Linked DNA regions of Cricetulus griseus. The protein of the gene in region 1 interacts with the protein of each later gene in a pairwise test. Links are inferred from orthologs where the notes say so. Each region holds a gene or a part of one and is shown on either strand. Other genes may lie near its edges.

Region 1 (10,863 bases):
AATCGAATCCAAAAACACATCAGAGAAATCATCGACCATGATCAAGGTAGCTTTATCCCAGGAATGCAGGGATGGTACAACATACTAAAATACATCAATGTAATCCACCATATAAACAAAAAAGGAAAAGAAAAACCACATGATCATCTCACTAGATGCTGAAAAAACCTTTGACAAAATCCAACATCCCTTCATGATAAAGGTCTTGGAGAGATCAGGAATAACAGGAACATATCTAAACATGATAAAAGCAATATACAGCAAACCAACAGCCAACATCAAACTAAACAGAGAGAAACTCAAGGCTATTCCTCTAAAATCAGGAACAAAACAAGGCTGTCGACTCTCTTCATATCTCTTCAATATTGTACTTGAAGTCCTAGCTAGAGCAATAAGACAACAAAAGGAGATCAAGGGGATACAAATTGGAAAGGAAGAAGTCAAACTTTCACTATTTGCAGATGATATGATAGTTTACATAAGTGAACCGGAAAACTCTACCAGGGAACTCCTACATCTGATAAACACCTTCACCAAAGTGGCAGGATACAAGATTAACTCAAAAAAAATCAGTAGCCTTACTATATACAGAAGATGAATGTGCTGAGAAAGAAACCAGAGAAACATCACCTTTCACATAGCAACTAACAACATAAAACGTCTTGGGGTAACACTAACCAAAAACGAGAAAGACCTGTATAGTAAGAAGTTTGAGTATTTAAAGAAAGAAATTAAAGAATATACCAGAAAATGGAAAGATCTCTCATGCTCTTGGATGGGTAGGATCAACATAGTAAAAATGGCAATCCTGCCAAAAGCAATCTACAGATTCAATGCAATTCCCGTCAAAATCCCAACACAATTCTTCACAGACCTTGAAAGAACAAAACTCAACTTCATATGAAAAAAAAAACAGGATAGCCAAAACAACCCTGTACAATAAAGAAATTTCCGGAGGCATCACCATCCCTGACTTCAAGCTCTATTATACAGTCATAATCCTGAAAACAGCTTGGTATTGACACAAAAATAGACAGGTTGACCAATGGAATCGAATTGAAAACCCTGATATTAACCCACACACCTATGAACACCTGATTTTTGACAAAGAAGCTAAATTTATACAATGGAAGAAAGAAAGCATCTTCAACAAATGGTGCTGGCATAACTGGATTCAGACATGTAGAAGATTACAGATGGATCCATATCTATCGTCATGCACTAAACTTAAATCCAAATGGATCAAAGACCTCAACATAAATTCAGCCACACTGAACCTCCTTGAAGAGAAGGTAGGTGGCACCCTTGAACAAATTGGTGCAGGAGACTGCTTTCTGAACATTACACCAGTAGCACAGACATTGAGATGGACAATTAATAAATGGGACCTCCTGAAACTGAGAAGCTTCTGTAAAGCCAAGGAGACAGTCAGCAAGTCAAAACGCCAGCCCACAAAATGGGAAAAGATATTCACCAACCCCACATCTGACAGAGGGCTGATCACAAAAATATACATGAATTCAAGAAGCTGCCCACCAAAACACCAAACAACACAACTAAAAGATGGAGTGCAGAACTTAATAGAGAATTCTCAACAGAGGAATCCAAAATGGTTGAAAGACACTTGAGAAAGTGCTCAACATCCTTAGCCATCAGGGAAATGCAACTCAAAACCACTCTGAGATACCATCTTACTCCTGTCAGAATGGCTAAAATCAATAACAAATGACAATCTATGCTGGAGAGGATATGGAGAAAGAGGAACTCTCTTCCATTGCTGGTGGAAGTAAACTTGTACAGCCACTTTGGAAAGCAATATGGCAGTTTCTCAGGAAAATGGAAATCAGTCTACCTCAAGATCCAGCAATCTCTCTCTTGGGCATATACCCAAAGAATGCACACTCATACAATAAGGACATATGTTCAACTATGTTCATAGCAGCATTATTTGTAATAGCCAGAACCCGGAAAGAACCTAGATGCCCCTCAACTGAAGAATGGATAGAAAAAAATGTGGTATATTTATACAATGGAGTACTACTCAGTGGAAAAAAAAAACAATGAAATCCTGAAATTTGCAGGCAAATTGATGGAACTAGAAGAAACCATACTCAGTTAGGTAACCCAATCACAAAAAGATAAACATGGTATATACTCACTCATTTTTGATTTTTAGACATAGAGCAAAGGATCACTAGCCTAAATTCCACACTGCCAGAGGAGCTAGGAAACAAGGAGGAACCCAAGAGAAGATTGCATAGTCCCTCGAAGAAGGGGATGGGGACAAGAACCCCTGACAAAATTGGAGCCCAGGGCAGGAAAAGGAAGGAGAGTCTTCATCCAGTTGCTGTTCTAAGCAGAAACAGACACCCATAGCTAAGCACTGAACCATACTACTGGAATTCAGTTGTGGAGAGGGAGGAGGGTTGAGCAAAGGAGCCAAGACGGGGATGGAGAGACCTGCAGAAACAGTGGACCTGACCTACTGATAGAATGGAGATCCTAGTCATAAATCTGGGGAAATAGCATTGGACCAAACCAAACTCTCTGAATGTGGCTACCAGCTAGGAGCCCAAGACAGTCTATGGCTCCTCTGACAGCATAGCCAGTCTTTATCCCTAGAGCACAAATGGTCTTTGGGAGCCCACTCCCTATGGAGGGATACTATTGCAGCCCAGATACAGCAACGAGGGTCTAGACTTTCCCCCAAACAATATGACAGACTTTGAAGGTCCTTGGTAGAGGGCCTCACTATCCCTGGAGAGGAGTCGGGGAGTAGGTTGGGGTGGGTTGGGTGAAGAACATGGGAGGGTGAGGGAATGGGGGGATGGATATGTAAATATGAGAAATTAAAAATAAAAATTAAAAAACAGATAAGGAATTGGGAAGCAGGAGGAAATGGGAAGGGGTGGGTGTGGATAAAGACTGTTAGCTGGGCCCTGGCAAATTATCTAACATGTCTGTCACTTTATTTGGTAACTGATACTCAACATTTTGGTTGGAGGGGTCAGCAGATAGGTAAATGGCCAGACTCTGAGGACTTATGGATGATCCAAAACCTTCTGGGATGTAAACAACTTGCTTGATCAATTTTGGAAATCCCTGAGCTATTACTTCCCTACTCACACAGCTTTGCAAGCATTTCCTGGCTACAACCTCAAGCATTGCACAACCAGTATAGTTCAATATCTGCCTAGTTTGAGGTTGTATGACACAACCTTTTACATTTCATCCACACCATCTATTCTGTGTTAACTATTTTAGGGCTGAGATTCTATCCACGACAGAATTTCTCTGGAATTCTAAAGAAACTTGCTTCATCATCTTAACTTCTGGATTGAAAGGCTTTTTGCGCTTGTAGAATGTTCTTGGAGCCAAAACATCTTAACTGCTTTTTGGCCTTACAAAGTACTTTTCATAAAACCAAGCATTGTGGCACAAGTTTTAATCCCAGTACTCTGGAGGTAGAGGCAATAGATCAGAAGTTCAGAGTCATCCTCAGTTAAATAGTGAGTTCAAAGCCATCCTGGACTTCATGAGACCCTGTTTCAAAATGAAAACAAAAACAACAACAAAAACCCAAAGTATTTTGCAAATAGATACTGACTTTGGATCATAACAGTCCCATGAAAAGAATGGGACCCACTTAACAATGAGATTCAAAAATAATGAATTGGCCAAAGTGTAGGTGTCTGAAATGGGACTTGTTCTTTCCTAACAGATCTGGAGGCTCTGTATGTATGTAGGGTGGAGTGTATGCTTACGTACAAAGCCTTGATTCATTCTCTAGCATGTGTACACACACACACACACACACACACACACACACACACACACACACACACACACACACCTCACTATGATGATTGGTCTATTTCCTGTTTCTGGGAGGTGATTGAGGTGAGGTCACCAGGGTTTTGGACCAGGACCACCCCTGTCTATCTTTCAGTAAGGTTCTTTCCCAGAGTCTATGCTCCTTCTGGAAGCAGAGGATCCATGACAAATCCACACAGAGTGATGAGACCAGGGATATATAGGTGTAAACTCTCAGGAAGCCTGAAGCAGGGAGGGCTGGGAGGTATGATAAAAAGATGCTGCCTGGGAGACCAAGTGTTGCTACCACATCTGTACAGGTGTTCTCAGTGGTTTGACCAAGATCTTGGCCCTGGCTGAACCATTTGTCCTGTCCCCGACACCAACATGGGTTTAAGGTAGATTCCCAGAAGCCAGACCTCCACCTGTGCTTGTGATTGGGGGTCTGAGGTCTGTTGACGTTCCCCACAGGGCTCAGACCTTGGCCAGGGCTCAACAGACACAGGCAATAAGATGGGGTTGCCCTTCTATTAGTCCAAGTCCTGGGCATAGCCTGGGTGAGTCATGGAGGTAAGGAGGCCCACGAGGCTCAGCAGTGTGGAGAAGAGCAGCAGGAAGGAGGCAGCGAAGAGCAGAGCAGGCATGGCACTGAGTACCAGCAGCAGGATAGCTGGCAGCAGGTGGCTCCATACCACAGCCACCACAGGCCACAGGGAGCTCAGCAGGTGGGAGCCAGTGGTGAAGAGTGCATGGCATAGCATCAGTGCGAGCAGCAGGTAGAGTGTCCCCTCCAGACCCCATAGCATACGCTGTAGAGGTTGCCGCCAGCCTGATGTATTCCACCACTGGGACCAGCTCCGGGGCATGTGGCATGCCCACCATCGCACCCAGTCCTGACGGGTGACCCAGGCTGACCAGGGCACTGCCCGCTGGGGCCCCTCGCCAGCCCCGATGATATCCGTCTCCACTCGTGGCTGCTGCATCACGGCTGGTGCACCTGTGGACAGGGCCAGGCCAGCTGCAGGAGCAGCCCTGGAGATGCCCAGGATCTCTGGATAGGTGGGGTTGCAGGGGTCAGGAGGATACCAGCACGGGCAGGATTGGGCTTTGAACTGGGGCCTAGGACTTACCTTTGGTCAGAGCCACCTAAGTCATGATGTTTCCTGTTGTGCCCAGGCTGGCCTGGCAGCCAGGTCCCAGGCTCACCCTCACTCACTCCACCATCCTCAGAGGAGTCCATTGTGACCTGGGCTGGGGCGGGGCCCAGCTGAGAGAAGAGCTACTGCAGCATAGTGTGAGACTCACTTGAGTCCCTCACTACGGACCTTCCAGGCTGGCAGGAGAGCTCAGCAAGCCTCCCAGATACCATTCTTCTTGCTTGTAGGAACCCTTCCCCACTCCCGTCCCTTCTTGATGGCTACCTCCAACTGCAGGACTGGAGTTGGTTGTTGTGTCCACCCTTTTCTCTGCCTTCTCTTATCACCCTAAGCCTCAGACCCAGTTCTCAAATGTCCATATTATGGAACTAGAGGCCTCTGAGGTTCAAGCTGACACAATAGTGTATTCTACCCTTACACCACAACCTCTGTAACTCAGGATAGAAGAGAGGAGAGCCGGGGAAGCAGAATGGGCGATGTATTTTTAGAAGGCATTCAGTTTTCTGAGGGCCCTCGGTCCCAAGGATGGAGGCAGAAAGCAAGGCCCAGCAGGGCTAAGGGTATACCAGAGCCTCCCAAGAATAGGCCCAGGCCCAGGAACAGCAGGAACAGGGCATCCTGGAGGCTGAGTAGTCCTGAGACTATCCCTGTTGGAAAGAGGGGAGCTGCCTGCTGTCCCGGACCTTCACCAGCCCCCTGGCTCTGACCCATCGGGAGAAGTCTGTGTCTTGGCAGGATGGGACCTGTGGACCTGTGGAGAGAGAAGATGCCAGCTCAAGGCAATTGCTCATCTGACTCTGTGCTTGTGACACCCACCTGGCAGGCTGCTGCCACTTACCCATGGAGCAGGTCAAAAGCAAGGAAGCTGGCCAGCAGCAGGAGCAGCAGGGCTAGGCCAGCTTTCGAGAAGACTGTTCCAATTGTCACTCCTAGTGCCCCCAGCCCTAGGATACTGTCCAGGAGCTGGGCCTGGCTGAAGTCCCAGGGGACACACATGGCTCACTGACCTACTCAACCACTCTCCAGTATCCAGACTGCTGGGAGGGATAATATGGAATCTATAAAGGCTTTGGGGATGGACGAGCAGAACTGGGGCTGGAGGTATTAGGAGGAGCTAGTGCTAGGAGATTAAGAATCAGGGGGAAGGAGGACCCTGGTTTACACTCAAGGGTGAGCTCAGAGAATAGGGAACTGGGCCCTTTGTGGATGCCCCCACCCCCAACTCTCACTCTATCTTCACCAAACCCTCCTCACCTCCTCCCACTTGGGCCGACCATTCTGGATTTGGACACCTGGGGCATTGTGACTTATTCCCAGGCAGTGCCTTGAGTTAAGGACAGGATAACAGTTTGTCTTGCCTCATAAACACTGGTAGCCTAGGTAGCGCTTAGCTAGTACTCACCCTTAGTTATTGCCATGGCAAGTAATTCTCTGCCCCGGGGGACTTCCCATGGCTTCAGGCTTTGTCAGGAAAGCATGCTAGCAGCATGACTATTTGGACTCCTGCCAAGGGAGGAGAGGCTGCTTCCTCCTGGAAGTTCTCAGGCTGGGTGTCTGGGATGCCATTCAGCCATTTAATTTTTTCTGTACCCATTTCTCTTCCCTGAATGTGGGGTAAGGCCCTGGGGGGGGTAGTGGGGGAGTTAGGTCTCCAACTCTGGGGTGCAGAATAGGCTTTTCCAATGGGTAAGCTAGGCTATGGGTGGCAGGAGGATGCCATTGGATGTCTTAAGCACTGCAGTTTGGGGAGATGTTATAACTTCAGAAATGGGACAGAGAGCTGGATATGGTATCTTATGCCTTAATTTCAGCACTCAGAAGGCGGAGGCAAGAAGATTGAGAGTTTAAGGCCAGCCTGGACTATATAGTGAGATGCTGCTCAGAGAAACTTGAAAAAAAAAAAAGATAGAGGTTATGAACCTAAGAGGCTTACAACATTGTGACCTCAAGTTATTCTGAGTTAGGGTTTGTTCATGCCTTCCAGGCTGGCCTTGAAATTGCCGTGTAATGCAAGGTGCTCTCTAACTCTCAGTGAGTCTCTGCCTCTACATCCTGAGTGCTAGGATTGCAGGCGTGCAGTACTGTGCCTCACAAAAAACTCCAAATAGGAAGTTAGGGCTGCAGTTTAAGAATGAAATTAAGGAATGAACATGGAATAAATTTATGGTCACAATTGCTGGTTACTATTATTCAATGAGAATAAATGTGTTCCCACTGAATGAATCTATGAAATGGGAGTGGTTGCAGAGCTATTAAGTACATGGACAGTTTGGTGATAAAAGATGAGTAGAAGTGACTTAGAAATTTAACTGTTACTCATACTTTGAAGGAAAACTGAAGGGAGTGTGGTAGGGGAGACAGTGACAATATAGACAATGACAATATAGCCCCAGAAAAAGGAGAGATTGAGTGAGAATGATAGGAAGGGCATTCAGCTGTCTCCCAGGAAGCCGTCCCCAAAGACCCAGGCCTTGGCATGTTTGGTGCTGTTGGACTTGAAACCATAGAGCCAGTGTCATTTATCCTTAATATTATTTACCTATTGCCTTTCCACTGGCTTTTGTTTGACTGGGAACTTTGTTTCAGATAAGTTTGTCTATGGGGACATAGGAAACAGAAGATGATCCTGTTTTTTTTTTTTTTTTTTTTTTTTTTGTCTAAGTCTCAATTGTTTTTGCAAATGAGAAAATTAGCATCTAGGTTTTCAATTGCCAGTTCCATGAGTCTGTTCATTTCTGGTGCAGCCACAAGATTGCATCGCTGAACTATGGAATTGAGAGTCATGTCCCGACAATTCTACCGAGAGGAAGTAGCCACAATGCAAGGGGTTGGGAATGGGGTGTGCGGCTAATACTCCTTAAGATTTAGTGTGTGCAAGGTGCTCCGCATAATTTGTAGGGTAGTTAGTTCTACTTGGAGTTTTCTCAGTTTATTTTTTGTCCAACAATAATTTATAAATTGATCCCTGAGTGCCAGATCTACTGTTGGGTTATAACTCCTAAGGCAGACATTCTACTGAGGGCTTGGAGTTGTTCTCAGAAAGAAAATAATTAGGAGATGAGGAAGGAGAAGGACAGGGTAGAAGAAAGGGATAACCTAGCATATTGTCTTGTCTGGAGTCTAGCCTGACCTTGCAGATAGCTCTGAGAACAGTGAATTGTGCTATAGAGTTGGTCCCATCTTATCAATCAGTCATTGATGATAGCTCTTTCATGGAGGAAAGAGAAGGGAAGTTAGAGAACTGTAACTTTCAGCATGAAAGCAACTTCTATCTGCTGAGCGCTTTTGTCTGTAGAAATCAAACAGCTATAATTTATGAATGGCAAACAATGGGGGTGGGCACACTGTTGGTAAAGGGGACGTCAGTGGGGAATTAACAGCATATGGTAGCCAATCTTGTAATAAACGATTCAGCAAATCTGGATTTGTGACATGTTTATTCATAAAAACTATTTGGCTTGGGACTGGAGTAGAGCTTCTTAGTGATTAAGAGCTCTTCCTGCTCTTCCAGAGGACCAGGGTTCAGTTCCCAGCGCCCACACCAGGTGGCTCACAACTGCGTGCAACTCCAGCTCCAAGGGATCCAACACACTCTTCTAGCAACTCATAAACCCAAAAGTGGCTGGCTCTTGCTGGGCTCTCTAAGGAGCTATTCTCTAAGTCCTTGGAATATCCTATTCAGTATAAGTGTCTCTGTTTACACAGGCCATATCAAATAGTCCATGCCAGCAATGTAATTTTTGCTGAGGACTTAGACCAGAAACTAGGATTACCTTGGCCTCTAGAGGGTTTGGACTAACGTCCACCAACATGGGCAGTCAACTATACTTGTATGGCTTATCTCCAATAAAATTCTGGACACCAAAACTCCAGTGAATTTTTCTTATTAACAGTACTTGGTGAATGTGGTCTCGAATACTTCTGGAAGGATTAAGTACTGGCTCCCTGAGTCCATTTTCATATAAACAACTGGAAGCTCATACCCACTGTTTCCTGTACCCTGCTAATGTACATTCTTCTATTGTCAGTTTTATTCTGCCTGCAACCTTTATCACACTATGTGAACATTAGTATAATCACTTTGGTGAATTCTTCTGATAAACCATTGAACAAGAAAGCGTCTTGGGGACTCTGGAAAAACATTGGCATTCGAAGTAGGATTCACCAGGACAGTGCTGATTCACTAAGATAGGATGGAGTCACGAGTTGAGAGAAAGGGTAAGAGGGAGAGTCTTTGATTCCCAGATGGCTACTTAGTCACCCACAGCTTGGAAATGAAGCAGCCCCATGATCAGTTACTGGAGGTCAAAGTTATCAGTGGAGTTTATTGATGACAGCTAACTCCTGGAGGAGTCATTTAGGAAACTGTCCAGAAAGTAGAGTAATAAACAAAACCCCTAAGAAACTTTTTTTTAAAAAAAGTTAGTAAAAATCAGAGGAGGAATATTTGAAAGTTTTCAAAAAGAAAAAACATAATTCTAAACCTTTTTTCTGGTGCAGTGAACTTTAAGGGAATAGGGCTTCTTAAGCCCTCCTTCTTCTGGAGGCCTGGGATGACAACTATGACAGGAGATGCTAAGTATATTGGAGGCTGAGTTGGGAGAGGGACTCCTCAGCAGCCAAGGGCCTCGCTTCCTTTCATTTTCTTCCTGGTGGGTGGTCCAGGACTCCTTATTCCATGGAGAACATGTGAACCATAAGCTCTACTACCCTGCAGTTGTAGCTGAATTCATTGTCATGCCAGGAAATGGACTTGACAAAATTGTTATTGAGAGCAATGCCTACCCCGGCATCAAAGATGAAAGAATGGGTGTTGTTGCTAAAAATCATAGGAAACAGCCTGTTCCTCCTCATATACCCCAAATGCCCTGTACAGCCCTAGGTTGCCTGCTTCATTTTGGTTTTTCGAGACAGGGTTTCTCTGTGTAGCTTTGGAGTCTATCCTCGTACTCGCTCTGGAGACCAGGCTGGCCTCAAACTCACAGAGATCCTCCTGACCCTGCCTCCTGAGTGCTGGGATTAAAGGCGTGTACCACCAACGCTCGGCTTCATTGCCTTTTAAAAACAATTTTAAATTTATTTCCTGTGTATGTATGTTTAGCCTGCATTTATGTCAGTGTACCATGTGTGTGCCTGATGACTGAAAAGATCAGAAAAGGATGCCAGATTCCCTGGGACTGGAGTTACAGACAGTTGTGAGTCATTTTGTGGGTTCTGGGAATTTAATTCAGATCCTCTGTGAGAGTAGCAAGTGCTCATAACTACTGAGCCATCTCTCCAGCCCCTTCACCATCTTCTGCATGTCTTTGTACCTGGCAGCTTAGACTTACAACAGACACATTACCAGTGAGCTTCCTGCTCAGCTCTTGGCATGACCTTGTCCACAGCCTTGGCAGTGCCAGTGGATGCAGGGTTGATGTTCTAGGCAGTCCCACAACCATCACACCACACTTTCCCAGAGGGGCTATCCATGCTTGTTTGTTTTTTGGAGGGTGGTAATGTCATGTGCGGTGGTCACTGATGCCAAAGTTGTCATGGATGACCTTGGCAAGGAGGGCTAAGCAGTTGATGGTGCAGGAAGCATTGCTGACAATCTTGAGTGGGTTTCATATTTCTCGTGGTTCATTCTCATCACAAACATGGGGGTAACAGTAGAAGAGGCAGAGATATGACTTTTGCCTCCACTCTCCAAGTGGGCCCCAGCTTTCTCCATGGTGGTGAAGACACCAGTTGATTCCACTGGTGTTTGGTACCAGCGTCACCCCATTTGATGTTGGCAGGATCCTGCTACTGAAAGATGGAGATTGTCTTCCCATTGATGGCCAATTTCCTGATCTCAGCCGTGACTTTTCCAGGGAACTTGCCATGGGTGGAATCATACTGGGACATGCAG
Region 2 (9,153 bases), on another chromosome or scaffold:
TTGAGGCCAGCCTGGTTTACAGAGCGAGTTCCATGACAGCCAGGGCTACACAGAGAAACCGTGTCTCAAAAAACCAAAAAAAAAAAAAAAAAAAGAGAGAGAGAGAGGGAGAGAGAAGCGTTGTTCCTCTTCAGAAGAAACAAAAATAGGAACTGTGTTTTAATAATAAAAGCTGTAACTTTTTTTTTTTTTTTTAATGGAGATCATACTCTTTCTCTGGGTGTATATGAGTGATCCAGGAGATTGAGGAAGTGAGTCCGGCCTGTACAGAATCAGTGAATCAATCAGCACAGCAGCTGCTAACAAGGGAGAGAAGACAGCCTAAGCTTTCAGTGTGGGATTAGAGAACAGCTGGTGTAGTGGGAAGGGAACTTGTGGCCTGGGGACGCCATCAGCACTTCTAAGGGGACAAAGACTGAAGCCGGTGTCTGCAGAAGTCAATAGTTGTTAAAAAAAAAAAAAAAAGTTAGATTTATGTGGCTGAGTAATGGTTTGCTTTTGTATGTATATGTGCATACCTGGTGCCTGTAGAGGTCAGAGAAGGGTTATCAGATCCCCAGGTACTGGAGTTACAATATGGTGGTGTCCAGCACACGAGTCCTCTGCAAAGAACTATTGCTCTAAACTGCTGGGTCATCCCTCCAACCCTCAGCCACTAACTCTAAAAGCAATTTTTAGTATTATAGGTAAAAACATAGAATTTGTCCAGTTTATTGCTATACAATGTATAAAACAGACATTTTTAAAAATTAATGTATCCATAGTGAGAGGACTGAACCTAGAATTTTACACATGTGAGGCAGGCACTCTACAAAGGGACCGTACTTTTAGACCACATAATTTAGAGTATTACATTTTATTAGCCACAGGGGAGAGGACTAAGGGCAGTGGGGCTACTCATATATTATTAATCATTAAAAGTAGTACACACCTTTAATTCCAGCACTCAGGAGGCAGAGGCAGGTGGATCTCTGTGAGTTTGAGGTCAGCCTGGTGTACAAAGTGAATTTCAGGACAGCCAAGGCTGTTACAAAGAGAAACTCTATCTCAAAAAACCAAACCAAATAAACCCCCAAAACAAAAGAGTGTTTCTCAAGGGCCAGGTACAGTCCTTTAATCCCAACACTGTAAAGCCAGGACTGAATAGTGAAATCTGTCTCAAAAAATAAAATAAAATAAAAGCTGTTTAGCAAGTGTGTAATTCCAGCACTATGGAAGTGGAGGCAGAAGGATCAGTAGTCAACCTCAGATACATAAGAATTTGAGGCAGGCTAAACAAAACTCTAAAAAATGTATACATTATTTACAGAGGTAAATTAGGGCAGATTCGTCATATGTCTGTGATCCCAGAACCTAGAGAATGAGAATGAGTAACTCAAAGCTGTCCTGGATTATGAGATGAGTGCTTTGTCTCAGTTTAAGGGAGAATGAACGAAGGGACAGTTGGTTGATAGAACACAGTCTACTGCCGTCTCCTGAGCCTTCTCCCAAGCTTCCATTCTTGTTTCAGGCTCTGGAGTCTTGGTTTACAGGTGCATAACGGAGCTGCAGATCTGGAAAGGATAAAGAAATTTGTAGATGAACTCTGAGATGAAGGAGAACTGAGGCAGGACATGAACTGAATTGGGGAATCAGACTCCCAGACATTAATTAACCTTAAGACCTAGTACACGCTGGCTGACTCGTCCCTCACAGCCTTACTATTTGTGTGCCTCTGTTAGCAGTCTGGCTCTGGGTCCCTGAGGTGAGGTTTCGGAGTCTCATTTACCTGCAGAACGCTGCTGCCTCACTCTCCTCCTGGTGCACAGCATATAGACCACGGCTGCTGTGAGAAAGAAAACAATGACCAGGAGGGACAGCACTGGTACCAAGCCTGGTGTGCCAGCTGAAGATTCTGGTTTTTCTTTTTGCTGTTTGTTCTCTTGCTGTTTTTTATTTGCCTTAGCCTTAGGTCTAGCTTCTGGATCGCAGCCTGAAGTGACAGCAGTGGTTTCATAGCCCGAAGTGACAGCAGTGGTTTCATAGCCTGAAGTGACAGCAGTGGTTTCACTGTGGGGGGTGAGCTCTTTGTTCAAGGACAGTGCACCAGATGGAAAAGTGGACTGGTGGGTACTCTGAATCTGTGCAGGGGTGCTTGTGTCTGGAGGTGTCCCCTCTGTGGTCACGGGGATCTGGGTGCTAGCGTGAGGCAAAGGCTCCTGGTGGGGGAGACTCTTCCCGTGGCCATGTCCACACTCTGGAGAGAAAACAAATAAAGGATCAGGGCTACAGGAACAGCTGGAGAATATCTTCCTCACCTGTCTTCAGATTAATGAGAAAAGCAGAACAAGTTGATGGGATGCAGGAACCTATTCTACTGTGCTTAGACTGGATAAGGAATGGACAGCGTGTAGAAATAGGATTGGGCAGGAAGGGTTCTGGTTAGTGGTAATGAACAAGGGGTAGGCTGGGGTGTAGCATGTACAAGACCCTGGATTAAATCTCCTGTCCCCACCCCCACCCCAGGGCAACAGGGAGGGGACCAGTAAGGCCTTGCCAGATTCTTTTGGGCCTCCGAGTCCTGGCCAGGGCTCCTATAGCATGAAAGTATTTATTATGCCTCAGTTCTAGTTCCTTTGTGGCCAGCTGGCACAGAGAAAGGTGGAGGAAAGTCAGAGTGATTTGCTTTGTTGGATCTCTCAGCTGCTAAAATCCCCTATTTGAGTATCATGTTCTGAGCCCAGCAGAGGGAGGGGATGGGGAGCATCCAGGGGACAACTGAAGAACTGTGTATATGACTCAGTGGCAGCGTTCTTGCCTAGCATGTATGAGGCAAGGCCCTGGATTCATTCCCCATACTGTGCAAAAAGAGATTTGGAGCAGGGCAGCTGAAGGCCGTGGGAGGAAGACAGTGGCAGAGGGACAGACAGGGACAAGGAAGTTCACAAACTACAAGATGCAGTCACAGGGCAAGGCAGGTGTGCTACATTGCATTGAACCCTAGAGTACTTTACCCATCATCTATAGCTGTTCTGGGACTCTTGTCATGGTAACAAGGCCCAGGGTATCTGGGAGAGTTGAAGGAAACAATGTAGGTCTCCATAGCTTGAAAGGCAGTGTGGGTACCACTAATAACCAGGTAGACTATTGAAGAACATTTCATATTTTAAGAGTTGTATCTTTTTTGTTTTTAATTGAAGACAAGGTTTCTCTGTGTATCCCTGGCTGTCCTGGAACTTGCTCTGTAGATCAGGCTGGCCTCGAACTCAGAGATCCATCTGGGCTTAAAGGTGTATGCTACCATACAAGAAACATACAAGCTATTAAGTAATTTGTTTGAAAACTGGCTTATGCATACTTAAGATCTATTCATTTAATTGAGTTTTTTCTTTTTAATCTTGAAAGAACAAAAGAACAATAAAATATTGAACCCAGAGTTGGGTCTTTAATCTCAGTGGCTCAGGGAAGCAGAAGCAGGCAGATGAGTCTATGAGTTCAAGGCCAGCCTGGTCTATAGAGCGAGTTCCAGGACAGCCAAGGCTACATAGAGAAACGTTGTCTTAAGCAAACAAAACAAAAATTGAACTCAGTAAAATACATGCTGAAATGTTTGGGGATTAAATACAATAATATCTGCAATTTATGTTGAAAAAAAGTTTTTAAAAAAGGTAAATTGAAATGGAGAGTGGTGGTGCATGCCTGTAATCCCAGCACTTGTGAGGATCACTTCAAGGCCAAAAAAGAAAAAATTAAAAAGAGCAGTAAGATTGATGATGGATAGATAACACAATCAGTTTGCAATAATGCAAATGTAGTAAAATGCTGTAGAACCAATATTGTAAATATTACTGATTTCATATTTGCTTTATTATATAAATAAATAAATATGAAACTGCAAATCAAATATTGTAGAATGTAGTTGATGTCCATAGAGGCTGTTCAATGTATAATTCTTTCAACTTTTTTGTTTTGTTTTATTGTCTATATGTAGCCCTGACTATCCTGAAAATCATTATGTAGACCAGGTTGGCCTCAGATTCACAGAGCTCCACCTGCCTCTGCCTCCCAGAATGCTGGGGTTAGAGGTGTTCACCACCACACCTGGGTAAATTCTTTCAACTGTAATGTTTATTTTCATCATTAATTATTAAAAAATGAAAATAGTACCTTCAAGTGATTTCAATGAAAGTACAATAGTGAAAGCCAAACCTGTCATAGAGACCTGTTATCCCAGCTACTAGAGAGGTTGAGGCAGGAGGATGATAAGTTCAAGACTGAGTTGAGAGGATAAGGGAAGGGGGATGGGGGAAAATGTATAGCTCAATAAGAACAAGTTAAAAAAAGAACTCAAGGGTGTTCAGAGTCCACGATGGAGTGCTTCTCCCAATACTCAGGGTGCTGAGCTGAAATTGAGTTAAGATGAGTGGGAGCCTGCCTTACATTCTGTTTTCAACTCTCCACCTTTGAAATAGCTCTTACAGAAGACACCAGTGTCCTTCATCTAAGAAAGAATGGCATCGGGTCCAGAGGTGGACATGGGAGGAAAATGAAGCAGGCGCTATGGGCTGCCCACACTCAGCTACCACAGAGTTACCCGGTGTCAGAGTCCACTAGACTACTGTCAGCTCAGTGATTCTTTAGGGAGATTCTTTGGCCTCAGCAGCCACAACTAAGAGTTGTCACAACAAAAATGACACAAAACAAAGTCAGCAGAGGAATCTCCTGTGGACAAAGGGCAGAGAAGACCTGGCAGACACTCCTGAAGTGCTCCCAGTAGGGAACCTTGGGGCGTATAATGTGAGCAGGGATGAACTAAAGGAAGCTCAGTAACCTCACTCCCCAGAGTTTTCACCTGGGAACGGTCATGCAAGCATTCTCTGTTTAACACATATGGAAACTCTAGACTGCAAGAAGTAAAGTGAATACTGTGCACACAGTTTAGACACAATGAGGAGCTTTCATCAACTCTGTTCCCAGACGCCACCCAAGGACCACGCAGCCAGCAGAGCCTTCTATGGGCAGCAGTCTCACTGAGCCCTACCACACTAACCCTGCTGTGTAGTAGTTTGATACCCAAGAAACCACACTCCTAGCCAGAAGATGGTGGCGCACGCCTTTAACCCCAGCACTTGGGAGGCAGAAGCAGGCAGATCTCTGTGAGTTCCAGACCAGCCTGGTCTACAAGAGCTAGTTCTAGGACAGGGTCCAAAGCCCTGTCTTGTTGGGGGGGGGGGAAGAAAAGAAAAAAGAAACCACATTCCATTGCAGCCTTTGCTTGGGTATTCACTTTATGTGACTTAAAAAATACTATGGTCCATTATTTTTTTAAAAAAATATGAAAAGAGAACTGACCACTTCTTTTGCCACTAAGGATTTTACTCTAAGGTCCCCACTCAGTTTCCCTTCTTCCCTTTCCTCCTACTGATTCTCAAGATGGGAAGTCAGTTAACTAATTCCTAAATTTGGAAAGAATAGGCATTCTTGCCTCAAGCCACTCTTGGGGGTTGTCTCAGCTTCTGAGCACTCACATTTTCCTTCAAGGTAAGGCCCATTCTACCCAGTACCTTGTGCATTCTGAGGGTCAATCTTATTCAGGCTAAGATCCTCCATCCCAGCAATAAAGGTAATTTTTACACATTAAAAAAAAAAAAAAAAACCAAGTTCAAGCCCATCCTGGCCAACTTAGCCAAACCCTGTCTGAAACTGTCTAAAATGCAGGGTGACAGTTAAATGTTAGAACACATGACCAATCTCAAGTACACTTTATATTATAATTTCAAGAAAATATTAAGTAGGGCTGGAGAGATGGCTCAATACTTAAGAGTACTGGCTGTTCTTCCAGAGAACCTGGATCCAATTCCCAGCACCCACATGGCAGCTCACAACTGCGTTAACTCCAGTTAAAGGGGATTCAACACCTCCACACAGACATACATGTACACAAAATATGAATGCACATGAAATAAAAAAGAAAATATTAAGTAATGGCATGTGTGGTAGAACAAATTGGCTGAAACCAGGAAGATGACAGGGACATTGAGAAGACACAAACTTTAGTGAAAGTATTTCAAGCCAGTTAGAAGCTTCTAAATAGGAAAGTGCTGTGTGGTGTGGCAGAGGCAAAGGAGATTATAAGACGTGGCCCACTGGAGGACAGAAGAGGCTCTCACCTTTGTTCTCAAAGCAGCTTATCACTTCACGGACCCACTGGTCTTGCTTTCTCCCACACACACTCGTGGACTTTAAGTGGAACCTGTAAGAGGATCAATCTAGTCTCCTATGATCACTCCTTCCCCTCCCTACTTTTCCTCATTCCAAAGGTGTGAAGTCACCCAAGGTAAGTAGGCACTATTAGGACTGGAAATCCCCAGATAAGTGAAACTAGTAAGGAGCTAGGCTCCCCCATCCGGACTGGGTGTTCAGGTTGTGATGGTCCTGTAACTCCCGGGGGCCGGAGGGTGGGGGTCAGACGGACGGATGGACGAACGGATGAGACAGTACCTGATGAGGAACGGACAGCGATCGTATGCTTTCAGGTGTTTTCGGATATGAGTCAAGGTAGCAGGCGGTACCAGGGTGCCAGGAGCAATTGTCTTACCACAGGAACAGCTCCCAGTGGCACTGCCCTGGTTGCCATCACCTAAAGCGGAAAGAGGGATCAGCCCTGGTGCTCGGACTCCTTGGCTTCCAACCCAGCTGTCTGACTCAGCCTTCCCTACCCGCCAGACCTACTTCCCACCCCAGTGTAAAGCCACCTGGGCCCAGAGGTCCCCAGTCCAACCCCTGACAGCCTTCCCCTAGTCCTGGCTGCTGCCTTTGGCAGCTCTGGGCTGAGTTCTTAATCTGAGTTCTTGTGCCCCTCCAGTTTCCATTCTGGTCCCAGCCCCTCCCCACGACTAACCTGGCTGGGTCAGCAGAGCCAGCAAGAAGAGAAAGAGCACTCGGGGCAGGAGTCCGAAGCTCTGCCTCATCTCCGGACTCTGCGGAGCTTGTGGTTGCCAAGCCACTTAGCCGACATCCAGCTGATCCGCTTGCTTTCGATTCTTCACCCCGACTGCCAAAGGTTCTGCAGAGGCACTGCGGTCGGTGCCAAGCTCAGGCGGGACAGGGCGCGAGGTAGCGGTGCCGTCCCTCCCCTCGGTCCCCGCGCGCTGCCCTGAACCGCCCGCCCGCCCGCCCGCCTGCCTGGTCAGTAGCCGGGAGCCTGCGCTGCGCCCAGCTCCCACGTAGGGGAACCCCCTGAAGGAGGAGCTCCTTCACCCGACTCCAGACTCACGTCCAGGCTGGGAGTGGGGGTGGGAGGGCAGCCAAGACAAAACCGAAAGGAAGCTCGGGCTGTGGAGCCCGAGGAATCCGAGAGGGCAAGCAGTACCCCCGGAAGAATGACTCGGTTGAGTTGGGGATGTCAACACTCCGGTGGTCGCCTGTCTGTCTGTTGGTTTGTAAAGTAGATGACTTGCTGGATCCTCCCTCCTGCTCCAAGATGCTTTCACTTCCCTGGTCCGAGGGGTTACTGTGGATCCAGTCACATGGCCAAGGTGAAAGCACTGGCCGGGTGCAGCCAGATGCCCTAAGCGGGCGTGCCACCCAAGTTATGAGCCTCGGGCAGCCCTGACGTCACGACGGTCCTCCTGCACGAGGTATTTACCTTCGAAAAGTGGTGGCGGCTGCAGGTACCGGAGGAGAGGAGCGGCCAGAAAGAGGGTGGGCTTATTGGGGCTCACACCAAACTGATCCTCAATCAAGAGATGCCTCAGTTCTTAACTCTAACTTCTATTCCCACAGACCAACAGACCCCCAAAACTTTCCCTTCTTAGCAAACCTTTCCCCATAGGATTAACTTTACCCTGTGTCTTCCCTTAATTCAAATCCCACTTTAGGATCTGAGTTTTGTATCTCAGCTATGATTTCGTCACTCACCTTTAAATATCCGCTTTCCAATCTAGCCTCCCTCCATCGTTATCCCTGCAAATCCTGTTCTGAGCTCCTGAGATTCCTCTATAGATTGACCTGAAGCCCACCCCCCTTCTCCCTTTTGTGACTCGGCCCAAACCTGACCGTTACCATACATACATCCCTTTCTGCTCAGTCTGGGTCCAGGCCCTCCCTGTGCATCTGAAGACATGGAGTTTGTGTCTGGATACCGGGACGAGTTCCTTGATTTCGCTGCCCTTCTCTTTGGCTGGTTCCGCAAGTTCGTGACAGAAAAGGGGACCATGGGAACCAACCTTGAGGGCCGATGGCGTCAACTGGAGGCTCAGATAAGGAGGCTGCCCCAAGACCCTGCCCTCTGGGTGCTCCACGTCTTACCAAACCGTAGTGTGGGCATCAGCCTGGGGCAAGGTGCTGAGCCAGGTCCTGGGCCAGGCCTGGGGGCTTCCCGGCTCTTGGGAGATGAGCCTCCACTCCACCTTAGAGACCTGAGTCCTTACGTCAGTTTTGTCAGCCTAGAGGATGGGGAGGAAGGGGAGGAGGAAGAAGATGAACAAGAGAATGGAAAGGAGAGCTCAGGCACTGAGAAGGCAGAACCACAGGAGGGTGGGGAGCCAGCCCCTCCAAGCAGGGAATTACCCCAAGAAGCAAAGCCACCAGCCGAGTCAGAGGTGACCCAGCAAGAGGCAAGCTGTGAGGATGGCTGCCGAGAAGACAGAGGAGAGGATGAGAGAGCTCCTGAAAAGAGGAAAGGACGGAGGAGTGGTGAGAACCCAGGGTGGCCCTGCCCTATCCCCTGTCCAGACACCTTTCTGAATTCCTCTCATGTCACTCAAACCCAATTAGGAGTCACAAAATATGTTGCCACAATGTGACTTTGTTTTTTAATTTGAATCAACATCTAAGCACTGTAAAGAATGAAAGTCCAGAGGCCTTGCATCTTAAGAAAAACCAGGGCTGGAGAGATGGCTCAGAGGTTAGGAGCATTGACTGCTCTTCCAGAGGTTCCAGGTTCAATCCCCAGCACCCACATGGTGGCTCATGACCACCTGTAACTCCCTTTCCAAGGGGATCCAACACCCGCTTCTGCCCTCTGCAGGCACTGCATGCATGCGATGTACATACATACTTGTGGAGAAAGTACCCATAGGCATAAAATAAAAATAAACCTAAAGACAGAAAAGTTCAGATTTTGATAAGGTGTCTATGTTTCTTACATTCTGGTCCCGTATAGCAGATGCC

Evidence for each region.
Region 2: the proteins of Tmem239 (region 1) and Cxcl16 interact in a two-hybrid assay, tested with the Homo sapiens proteins (2 studies listed by BioGRID). The two-hybrid records come from large-scale screens. The link is inferred for Cricetulus griseus from reciprocal best matches to the Homo sapiens genes TMEM239 and CXCL16.

What each region holds. Positions count from the first base shown.
Region 1 is NC_048599.1:48,201,377-48,212,239, forward strand, and holds Tmem239 (transmembrane protein 239), read right to left. Parts: upstream 4,812-10,863; 5' UTR 4,797-4,811; coding exon 4,344-4,796; downstream 1-4,343. Other genes in the region: CUNH20orf141 (uncharacterized protein C20orf141 homolog), read right to left, coding at 5,466-5,721, 5,809-5,966.
Region 2 is NC_048600.1:84,256,759-84,265,911, forward strand, and holds Cxcl16 (C-X-C motif chemokine 16), read right to left. Parts: upstream 7,399-9,153; 5' UTR 7,256-7,398; intron 7,151-7,255; exon of another isoform or gene 7,046-7,150; 5' UTR 6,951-7,045; coding exon 6,881-6,950; intron 6,620-6,880; coding exon 6,481-6,619; intron 6,233-6,480; coding exon 6,150-6,232; intron 2,237-6,149; coding exon 1,769-2,236; intron 1,554-1,768; coding exon 1,507-1,553; 3' UTR 696-1,506; downstream 1-695. Other genes in the region: Zmynd15 (zinc finger MYND domain-containing protein 15), read left to right, coding at 8,103-8,676. UniProt on the Homo sapiens protein: Acts as a scavenger receptor on macrophages, which specifically binds to OxLDL (oxidized low density lipoprotein), suggesting that it may be involved in pathophysiology such as atherogenesis. Induces a strong chemotactic response. Induces calcium mobilization.